Arabidopsis thaliana: one gene and its partners. The protein of the gene in region 1 interacts with the protein of each later gene in a pairwise test. Each region holds a gene or a part of one and is shown in the gene's direction. Other genes may lie near its edges.

Region 1 (3,784 bases):
GACAAGGCCAAACAGTTTTCTAAAACCTGTTTCTTCCCTCACATTACACAACAATTTGGTGAAGACTCGAGCATGTCCGGAGACCTGTGAACATATATATATACAAAACTTAGTCACCTTGGGGTCTTTAAAGATCACAGAGATTCCAATAAGGAAGAAGACTTACATTTGGCCCAGACTAGCGAAATCAAAGCCAGGATCCATCTCTTGCACTATATCACTCGGTGGTTGTCCACACTCTTGCATCTTCTGCATTATCTCCATTATCTTGGTCGAATTGTTTGGTTCGTTCTCGTACACCAAGTTGAGTTCTTTGATAAGTTCATACTGGCGTGAATAACGATCGAATTCTTCCTTGTTTAGACTGGATTCATGCTCTTCTAGCCATTTTGGGTATCTTGCACCAATCTCTTTCATTGGTTCGTGAAGAATATCCTTCGATAACAGCTGTTGCATCATCGTGTCCACTATCGACTCCAAGTCCTAAACAAAAACATGGAAATTATGAAATGAGAAATCATAAAAACAAAACTTCTAGTGATCAAGACTACTTTCAAATGGTTCTGCAAACTAATTCTCATCTTCAATTGTGGTTTTTTCGATATTAGTATCAGTATCACTACTATTAACACAGCCTTCAAAACTACTTTGCAACATGTGTTACTACTCTGCAACAACCTTAACTAGATGAAACTTTAGTAATCTAATCTAATCAGAGAACTTGAAGATAAAGAGAACATTAAACTAGATAAGTATAGCAAGAAGTAACAACTCAGTTTGTGTATACTTACGTTAGACCCAGTAAGATTCTCGAATTGCTTGATCCAATCTTCAACCATAGCATCATCAGAACCTGTAGGTTGCTGCTTCGATGACAAGGACTCAAGTCCCTTCACAGTTTCTCTAGTTTGTTCCCTGAGTTTATCAAGTGCCTCAGTAACATGGTCCTCTTTAGCAATCTTTTTCTTTCCTTTCTTCTTACTCCTCATATCTGGTAACCCCATTCCAAGACCTTGAACCCCACTTGGCAATGACTCTGTCTCTTTTTTATCACCCTCTTCTTTCTTAACCCCTCCATTTCTACATAAATCCAAAGCTAATCAACACCACAATTCCCACCAAAAACATAACAGAACCTCTAATTTAGTATTGATGTAACCACAATCTCAAAACTCTAGAGCTAAGTAATCTAACCACGTGGCATAGATACAATTAGAGAGAGACAGAGATTATGAGAAAAAGGAGTAACCTTTGAGTAAGATTAAGATCCTTGAAATCATCCAAGGCACCTGAGAAAGACCCAGAATTCTAAATTATAGAAAACGAACCCACAAGAACAAAAACGTTTTTCACCAATCACCTAGAATTGGTGAACATGTTATCAAATCAAATTAAAATTCGTTAGGAAATTATTACTATCGAGAAGCTCGTCTAAGTCATCGGTGTGAGTATCGTTGGCCATATTCTCGAGTCTCTCTTCCTCAACTCTCGAAGAAACTCACAAAATTCGAAGAGGAAGAGAGAATTATCGCATTGAAGAGAGAAACAAATTTCCAAAGGCGGTGTTGTTCAATTGATCAAGTTCAGGATTCGATCCAACGGCTGACATTATTTCCATTAAAGAATTATATTATTAAAATCTTAAAATGACTTGAAACCACGAAAGCCCATTAAGTTTAACTGTGTTGTGTCGTAAGCCCATTTTTTCAAGAACCAACGACATTGCCACAGAACATTTTTTTTTTTTTTACTCGCAAGTCTCTCAAGCAATGGCGCAGACATTAATGGCGACAACTCGTCCGTACGTTCTTCTCTCTTCCACAAGAGCGAGTCTTTATCGCCTTTTTCAATCTTCAAAGAGACCCTTCGCTTCATTCTCAGCTCCTCTCGTGAGATTCACTAACTCGAGATGTGTAAGCGCCGTTTTGTCTCGTAAAGAGACTGCGCCGTCGTCGATTTACGGCAATAGAGTTTCTAGGGTTTCTGGGTTTGGTGCTTTGGACATTCGCAGCCTTAATTTCAGTACTAAATCCTCTCAAATCAATGATGCTGGTTCTATTGATCAAACCCTTATGCAATCCATGGAGCTAAAGGTTGGATTTTTATACCTCATTAACTAATTTCAGTGAAATTGATTCATTGTGTATGTTTCAGTGTCAATTCAATTTATAGGTTATAGTATTATTAGTGAATTTTTGAAGGAATTGATTGGATACTTGGTATTGGCAACATGTGTCATATTTAGTTGATGGAAACTTGGTATTGGCAACACGATTGCTCTCAGTAGCTCCAAAATGATCAAGATCACTAAGCTAAGATAATTAATGAGGAATCATGTCTCTTACTTATATGATTGAAGCAAACGATTCTTTTTTTCGATTTATCAACACATGTCTCTCTACTTATGAGGTTTTGGCTTCATTTGCAGATCAAAGAACAATTGAATGCAGAGTCGGTTACTGTAACGGATATGTCTGGAGATGGACGTCATGTCTGGTAAGTACTCTGATTTAACTCATTTTTGTCTTCCAATGATGATTCTTTATTACACTTGAGTGAAGTTGCAGATGTGTGTTATCACTGTTATGGATAGTGTTTAGTGAAGTTTGTTAGATATATAGATAAATTCATATTTTGAGATTCCTTTTCTTTCATTTTAATCACAAAAAAGTTTCAGGTTCAACAAGTAGTAGAATCATCAAAGTTGGGATATAAGTTAGTACTTATTCTTCTGCTCTTGATGGAATCCAGTCATAGATTCTTACTTTAACTTGTCATATTAGATGGTTCTGTTACTTAATACCAGTTTTGCTTAATATTTGTAGCATCAATGTGGTATCATCGGCTTTTGAGGGACAATCTGCAGTGAACAGACAAAGGATGGTCTACAAAGCCATTTGGGAAGAGCTTCAGAACGTTGTTCATGCCGTTGATCAAATGACAACAAAGACTCCTTCTGAAGTTTGAAGCGTTAAATTTTCCGAACTCTAAAAGGCTTCAATATCTTATATTATTTGATTAGCTGACAATGCTGTTTGTTTTATCAAAAAGAAAAAAGCAAAAGGAACTGATATACAGCTTTTGGTTATTTTTTAAGTACTTTGATTGGTTCTCTTGCAACCCGCCAACACATGTTAAGTGTTGGAGCGTTTGCGGTTTGCGGTTACACGTGTTTGGCGTTTTCAATCGCTCTAAATGAATAAGAACAAAATTAGCGTTTGTGGTGGCGGATTATCTTCAAAATAAACTTTATTCTCTACTAGCTAATGTTATCATTTCAAAAAAAAAAATTTAGTCGATAAATAGATTAAAATATATTTGTGGTCATAAAAATTATATGTATGCATGGAAACGTATCAATTCAAAACTGAAAAGTTTTTTGCAATGAAAATTGTAAGATTTATAATAATATGATTGTTGCTTTTATATACATGTTACATGCATGAATAGTGAATAACTGAATATTGAACTACTATGGTTGATTTGGGAACCGTATTAGCCATCAACTAGACAAAAATCGTTTATATCAGTAGTAGCAACACTTAATAATGGTTACAACTAGTCCATCTGCTCAAATTCCCATATCTTTACTTTAGCTACATGGATTAACAGTTTTTTTTTTTTTGTTATCGGTTATTATACCATCATTAGAAACATAATGTTGTTTTGTAAAAAAAGAAAACACTCATATTGTTACAACTTGGAAACATAAGTTCATTTAACTCCAATTATTACAAGTAGACAAACATAGGTTTTATAGATACTATACTACCACAACCCATCA
Region 2 (3,441 bases), on another chromosome or scaffold:
ATTCTTCTGAATGCAAGAGGTTGGAGTGTTTTCTTGACAAAAATCTGCCATTACATAGAGCTCCGGTTATAGAAAGCTTCCGTCTTTACTTAATTGATTCAAAATGCACACCTGAGAATATCAAGATGTGGGTTGTTATAGCAGTTTCTCACTGCCTGCGTGAGCTGGAGGTTATTTATTCTTCATATCCGGAGAAGCCAAACATATTGCCGAGTAACTTGTATACCTGCAAATCGCTTGTGATCTTGGAACTCTGTGGCGAGATTCGCTTGGATGTTCCTCGAATGGCATTTCTTCCCTCTCTGAAAACTTTGCAACTTCACAGCGTGAGATACCTCAATGAAGACTCTCTTCATCGGCTTCTATCTAACTGCCCTGTTCTTGAAGATCTATTGGTGGATTTACTTTTGTCAGACAGCATGGAAAAGCTAACTGTTGTTGTCCCATCTTTGCAGATTTTATCACTCTTTATACCTCATTCTTATGAGATCGATGGGATTGTGATAGAAACTCCTTCTTTAAAGTATTTTAAACTTATAGACCATAACAGTAAGAGTCACTACTGTTTGGTTAAGAATATGCCTAACCTGATAGAGGCAGATATAGATGTTGAATTACATAGCATCAAGAGTCTTATTGGATCAATCACATCTGTCAAGCGTCTTTCAATATGTTCACAGGTATCATTTTCTCAACTCATTGTTTAGATATGCATTTGCTGATAATTTTTAATATTGCGCAGGCTATGTATGATGGAGGTTTTGTCTTCAACCAGCTTAAACATCTGAAGCTATGTAGATGCAAAGGGCATTCGTCGGATTTACTTGTCCGACTGCTCAAAGATTCTTCTAACTTACAAGCACTAGACCTTTCCGAAATGGATGTAAGTTTGTTCGTCAAACTCTTTTTTCTTGTCTGATGCACATTATGGTTTTAGTGTAATTCTTCTTCTGTTTGATCTGTAATTCTTCTTCTGTTTGATCTGTAATTCTTCTTCTGTTTGATCTCAGTATCATGAGAATCATGATATCCTTTACTGGCATCAACCAAGTACTGTCCCTGAATGTATGTTGTTGAGTCTCCAAACTCTCAACTTGTCGGCATATAGAGGAACACCAGAAGAGAGAGATCTTGCAGTGTATTTCTTGAAGAACGCTGTTCACTTGAAGACCACAACAATCAAGTCATGTGTTTTTGATGATGAAAGATTTGACATGTTAAAGGAGTTGGCACTTTCTTCTAGAGCTTCAACAACATGCCAACTCGTGTTTGATTGAGAGTATTTGATCACCAAAACAAAGCTTGTTCTTCAGTTCTTCCATGTCCCCGGGCTCGTATGGTTTGTCTTCAACCTGAAAATTTGTTTTCGTCAACCATCTTTTTCTATGTTTTCCGTTTTTTTTGTATGTGATAAAAACTTTATTCTATATGTTGTCCACCAAAAAACAAATTATGTTGATTGGAGAAGTTATATGATAAGTTTTAATCGTTTATGGGGTTTTATAGGTGTGTAGAGATATATACATACCTTGTGAATGAAGAAAAGAGAACTAGCTCTGTGTTGAAAAACTGAAAAGCATTTGATGCCCTGATAATTTCTCTAAAATTATTAAACCGAAATACTAATACGATCCAAGTGGAACCAACCAATTTCTTAATATCTAAAATACCGGAATCTAAAGAGTCGAACCAAACCGAACCGGAATGTCCTCTAATTTTTATTTTTAAACCCATGATTATGACATGCACTACCGGCTTAGTGGTGATGTTTGGCAACATGGTTTATTCAATTCTCACTCGCACTGAGTGTCTGTGGCTCATAAATCATTTACCTTTTCAATTTCTCAATTCCAAATCTAAAAGTCGTCAAAAATGGCTCTCCGATCTGTCAAAACGCCGACCTTGATAACTTCGGTCGCCGTCGTCTCCTCCTCCGTTACCAACAAGCCTCACTCTATCAGATTCTCTCTTAAACCAACGTCGGCACTCGTCGTCCATAACCATCAGCTATCGTTCTACGGTTCGAATCTCAAGCTGAAACCAACTAAATTCCGATGCTCAGCGTCGGCTCTTACGCCGCAACTTAAAGACACGCTGGAGAAACTGGTGAATTCGGAGAAAGTGGTTCTGTTTATGAAAGGAACGAGAGACTTCCCGATGTGTGGATTCTCCAACACTGTGGTTCAGATTTTGAAGAATCTGAATGTTCCTTTCGAAGATGTGAATATTCTGGAGAATGAGATGTTGAGGCAAGGACTTAAAGAGTATTCGAATTGGCCGACGTTTCCTCAGCTTTATATCGGCGGTGAGTTTTTCGGTGGTTGTGATATTACTCTTGAGGCGTTTAAGACTGGAGAATTGCAGGAAGAGGTGGAGAAAGCTATGTGCTCTTGATCCTGATTTCAATACTTGGTTTTTGTGATGATGGAATTTGATCTTATCTATCTATCTATCACCTGGGAAAAAAAATGTGATTTTGATGTTTCAGAGTTTGTGGTTGTAACATTAAGAGACATATATTGTATGATGGATTTAGGTATACAACAGTTGGAGTTGCTTGGAATTTGAGTTTCCTTTGTCATATGTGTTGGCCTGCAAATTTGTGTTGTTTGTTGAAAGGTTTATGTGTGAAGTAGTGCTAGTAGAATCTAAGTTTGTTTCTGACTAAGAGACATGAAGTCATGGGTTGTTATGCTCATTCATATCCTGATTGAGATACAATTTAAAGAAACTTAGTTCCAAAGATTCTGAACATTCACCGGTACAGTGTGTCTGCAAATGGTATTCTGTCTCACTTCAATGTCTAAACACGTTGTCTCAAAATGTATCGTTTGTTAGATACTCCTTTCAAGACATATGATTTAGCCTCGCATGTGTTCGTTGATCCAAGTTTTACCGGTTTGATAAGTCTCCAGTCTTAGCAATAAATCCAGACCGGATTCATGACCAATCGCAGATTTACCGGTCCGGGTCAAGTTTTAAAACATTAGTAGAAATGTGTTTCACCGAACAGGAAGACTTATCTGATAGCATCTCGTTGCAGTGGATAAATGGCAAAATAGTAATATACGTAGATTCTGCTTTTATCTGAACCACATAGTGCAGATGGATATCGAACAGAAGAACATGATATCGAGAAGACACGTGGCCCAATGAAAAAGCCACGCAGGCTCTGTATAGCCAATTGCAATCTGGTTTTAGATTCTCATCTCACAAATCTTACTTATACGATCAGTCTCCCACATTCACACTTCCACCAAACACCTCTCGTCCACATCTTTCTCCTTTGGTGGCAAACACAACGACAGATAGAGAGAAACGATGGCGTCGAACTCGCTTATGAGCTGTGGCATAGCCGCCGTGTACCCTTCGCTTCTCTCTTCTTCCAAGTCTAAATTCGTATCCGCCGGAGTTCCACTCCCAAACGCCGGGAATGTTGGT
Region 3 (4,106 bases), on another chromosome or scaffold:
TGGTGTTGCCACGTAGCAAGCATCTTCCTCTTAACCATGAGGTGTCGCAACCTCAGAGGACAACACGGACAAGACCGAGAAACCGCATACTAACGCTTGCAACGTAAAGCACAACACCCCTAAACTCCTATTTTTTTAATTTTCTTTTAACCTCAACACACCACGCAGCTATACACGTTTCAATGTGCTAATACGTGTCTTCTTCTCCGCCGACCAAGACACACTACAAATGTCCCGATGGTTTGGGGAGACAAATCACAGTTTCTACTACAACAACAAATACTTTTACGAAAAAAGCTTTTAAAACTTATCTAGTTTCGTTTGATACACATTTGAAGAAAGAAATGGCATCCAACCAACAGAGCTACAAAGCTGGTGAGACCAGAGGCAAGGCCCAGGTAATAAGAATATATTTTTGTGTATGTGTATACGTAAAACCACATTATATAAGCTCTAAGATGATTTGTCTGTGTAATACCAGGAGAAGACTGGACAAGCTATGGGAACGATGAGGGACAAGGCTGAGGAGGGCCGGGACAAGACTTCTCAAACGGCCCAAACAGCCCAACAGAAGGCCCATGAGACAGCCCAGTCAGCTAAAGATAAGACATCTCAAACTGCCCAAGCGGCTCAGCAGAAGGCCCATGAAACGGCCCAGTCAGCAAAAGAGAAGACATCTCAAACTGCCCAAACGGCACAGCAAAAGGCCCATGAGACGACGCAAGCAGCAAAAGAAAAGACATCTCAAGCTGGCGACAAAGCTCGCGAGGCCAAGGACAAGGCCGGGAGCTACTTATCGGAGACAGGCGAAGCCATAAAGAACAAGGCTCAAGACGCTGCTCAGTATACAAAGGAGACGGCTCAAGGTGCGGCACAGTACACAAAGGAGACGGCTGAAGCCGGTAGAGACAAGACGGGTGGATTCTTGAGCCAGACTGGTGAGCATGTTAAGCAAATGGCAATGGGTGCAGCTGATGCAGTGAAGCATACTTTTGGGATGGCTACTGAGGAAGAAGACAAAGAGCATTATCCAGGAAGTACTACTACCACTACTGCAACTACTCGAACCACTGATCCGACTCATCAGACTTATCAGAGGAAGTGATGAGAAAACAAAATTGAGAACGATATGAAAGTATCTTTGTGTTAGTTGGTCTTTTGAGTTTTGTGTTTGTGTTTTTGTAATTTCCGTTGTGTCTTTCTTTATGGTTGTGGTTCAGCTGTGTTTCTTGTTGTGACGGTGATCCTGGAGACTTCTAATTTCCAGCCAATAAGTTTAGATTTGATCCTGTTACAACTTATGTGTTCTCAAATTTCTATTTTTGTTACAATAAACAGTTATTAATACACATCATGGTCCACTTCGTATGTTGGTCATCAAGCATTAGCATTATACAGATATAGCTGCTAATCCAAACGGGTTTTACTAATCTTTCAATTTCTTTTATCAAAAATTTCAATAAAACATTTGTGTCTGCTTTTACGTTTTACGAATCGTTCAATTTCATAGATCTACTAAAATGAGAGAAGTAAACCAAAAAAATTGAATAGTAATTTATCTAAACCGAGCAAACCAAATAAATTTATCAAGACGTCAACGGACGTATACTTTGGTGACCATCCGAAACGACATCGTATAACATCTTAGGGTTATGAGTAATGACACGACGTCGTTCTCTGGGTCGGTCACTGGAGATGAAGAGAAGCGGTCGCGACATTGTAAAGATCTCTAGCTCCGTCCTTCTTCCTCGTAGCTACCCTCTCTAATCTTTTTTTCTCATTCCTGTTCTTGATAGTTTTCTAGACAGATTTCGATTAAACAAAACCGCGGAACACTTTGAAGAAATCTGCGTGATTTAGAGATGGCGGCTTCTTTATCGAGCAGACTTATAAAAGGAATCGCTAATCTCAAAGCTGTTCGTTCTAGCAGATTGGTTAGATTCTCTCATAACCCTTTTACTCAATTTTGATGTATCTAATGTTTGCTCAATAAAGTTTTCTCTTTTCCCATCTTGAATCACTTAAAAATTGCTCCTTTATATAACATTTGAGGTTCTGATTCTTTTGTTAGTTGAACCGGATTAGATAGTTACGTGAGCGTATGGTTTTGAATTATGTGAAAATGAATTTGTTTCCAATAGAAGATGGTATTGATGATCATTTGATAGTTGAATTTAACATGGAGAAGAATGATGTGGTTTTTGTTTGCAGACGTCTGCATCAGTCTACCAAAATGGGATGATGAGATTTTCCTCAACAGTGCCAAGTGATTCAGATACACATGATGATTTCAAGCCTACACAAAAAGTCCCTCCCGATTCTACGGACTCACTTAAAGATATCGTTGAGAATGTACACTCCAGCTTCTCTAGATTTGAAGTTGAATGTTTCTTTGTTAGGTGTTTGCTAATGCTGTTTTAGCTTTGGTGGTTGTGTAGGATGTGAAGGATAATCCTGTTATGATCTACATGAAAGGTGTCCCTGAATCTCCTCAGTGTGGGTTTAGCTCACTAGCCGTCAGAGTTTTGCAGCAATATAGTAAGTTTTGTTGAAATGTTGATTGAAACTGAAGAAGCCTTCTGTGAATTTTCTTTACTATTGGCGTTAGGCTCTGTGTTCTGATCTACTATCTTGTGATATCCTTCTTTAGATGTTCCTATCAGTTCTAGAAACATTCTAGAAGACCAAGAGTTGAAAAACGCTGTGAAATCCTTCAGGTGAGTATGTGGACACTTAATGAAAGTTTCATACAGAGAGTTGTATAATCTCATTCTCAAAGTTTTTTCATAAAGTTTGGCTTTGTTATTGAAGTTCGTTACCGTTCATTCCTTAATCTTTGACCTATATGATCTAGACCTCCCTTTGATTTTCAAGTCTTTATTTCTTTGCAGCCACTGGCCTACGTTTCCACAGATCTTCATTAAGGGAGAGTTCATTGGCGGCTCAGACATCATCCTTAACATGCACAAGGTTAGTTCCACTTAAAGCAGACCCTGTTTGACTTTTTTTTCCCCCGTTTCCATTGTGTTTGTTTAATCACAAGTCTCTTTTACTATTCTAGGAAGGTGAATTGGAGCAGAAGCTTAAAGACGTCTCCGGAAACCAAGATTGATCCAAAGTTTGGAAGTTATGCTGACGAGTGGAAGTTATTATGTTTTTGTTCTTTCTTTTCATAAGAATGTCTTTTCATGTACGGTAAAATAATGTCTCAGAAACTCAAAAATCTTTGGATTTCGTATGAATAAAAACTTTGGTAAACTAAGATAGCAAAATCAAAGAAGCCCAACGAGCCTTATTTATTTATTTTATTATTCATAATCAAGAATCGAACAGTAGAAAAGCATGAATAAATCACAAAACAGTAGAAACATGAGAGAACACCGTATACCCCAAGAAACCCCCCACCCCTTATATATATAATATAAATATTCTACACCATCGTATAATAGCTATAGAGATGCTGAGAAGATGCTTGTAAAGTTTAACGCGAACCCTCGAGACCAAGCCTTGAGACGAGCCAGTGAACCACCTCATCCATTTCTTTAGGAACCGTATAGTGACCAAGCCTACACAATCACATTAAAACCTCACAATCTCAGACTAAAACAACTAGATTGATAATGATAACTTTGGGATATAGGTTGAACAGTTACCCTTCATATGGTTTGAACATAGTTTGTCGGAATCCAGCCATGGCAAGTGAATGAGCAGATTTTTCTCCAAATCTATAAGGAACTACATCGTCCGCTGCAACCAAAAAACACATAAAGTGAATAAAATTCTAGATTCTCTTCGGTGATTTTATCTTGAAACAGTAAATCATATAATGATATATGTAAACATACAAGTTCCATGTGCAAGTAAGATCGGTATCGATGCAGCGCGCCTTGCAACCTCATTCGAACTTTCTATTTTGCTCCTTAAGCTCCTGCATTGTTATGTTTAAGCTTTCAATGTTAAGTCTCTGTGTTAACAAGTGACAAGAAAGGGTTGAAGACATATATTTATACCTCCAACCAGGAAGCCAACCGCTAAGTCCTACAGTAGCTCGTAGGTTTATAGTATAAGCATGTCCGGTTCCATAACGTCCAAGAGCGTAGCACGTC

The links. The genes of interacting proteins can lie anywhere in the genome.
Region 2: the proteins of AT5G17560 (region 1) and CXIP1 interact in a two-hybrid assay, tested with the Arabidopsis thaliana proteins (one study listed by BioGRID).
Region 3: the proteins of AT5G17560 (region 1) and GRX4 interact in a two-hybrid assay, tested with the Arabidopsis thaliana proteins (one study listed by BioGRID).

What each region holds. Positions count from the first base shown.
Region 1 is NC_003076.8:5,786,705-5,790,488, forward strand, and holds AT5G17560 (BolA-like family protein), read left to right. Parts: upstream 1-1,653; 5' UTR 1,654-1,769; coding exon 1,770-2,093; intron 2,094-2,428; coding exon 2,429-2,496; coding exon of another isoform or gene 2,497-2,500; exon of another isoform or gene 2,501-2,671; coding exon of another isoform or gene 2,672-2,690; exon of another isoform or gene 2,691-2,825; coding exon 2,826-2,967; 3' UTR 2,968-3,260; downstream 3,261-3,784. Other genes in the region: PEX19-2 (peroxin 19-2), read right to left, coding at 39-84, 167-483, 792-1,080, 1,250-1,289, 1,417-1,462.
Region 2 is NC_003074.8:20,340,803-20,344,243, reverse strand, and holds CXIP1 (CAX interacting protein 1), read left to right. Parts: upstream 1-1,779; 5' UTR 1,780-1,872; coding exon 1,873-2,394; 3' UTR 2,395-2,887; downstream 2,888-3,441. Other genes in the region: AT3G54910 (RNI-like superfamily protein), read left to right, coding at 1-680, 743-883, 1,011-1,277; LHCA1 (chlorophyll a-b binding protein 6), read left to right, coding at 3,322-3,441. UniProt on the Arabidopsis thaliana protein: May only reduce GSH-thiol disulfides, but not protein disulfides. Probably involved in the regulation of the redox state of the BOLA proteins. May act as Fe-S cluster donors to Fe-S cluster-requiring proteins.
Region 3 is NC_003074.8:5,307,140-5,311,245, reverse strand, and holds GRX4 (glutaredoxin 4), read left to right. Parts: upstream 1-1,621; 5' UTR 1,622-1,862; coding exon 1,863-1,934; intron 1,935-2,211; coding exon 2,212-2,352; intron 2,353-2,438; coding exon 2,439-2,538; intron 2,539-2,650; coding exon 2,651-2,717; intron 2,718-2,891; coding exon 2,892-2,970; intron 2,971-3,061; coding exon 3,062-3,112; 3' UTR 3,113-3,481; downstream 3,482-4,106. Other genes in the region: AT3G15670 (Late embryogenesis abundant protein (LEA) family protein), read left to right, coding at 345-398, 482-1,105; AT3G15650 (alpha/beta-Hydrolases superfamily protein), read right to left, coding at 3,482-3,566, 3,654-3,747, 3,846-3,928, 4,011-4,106.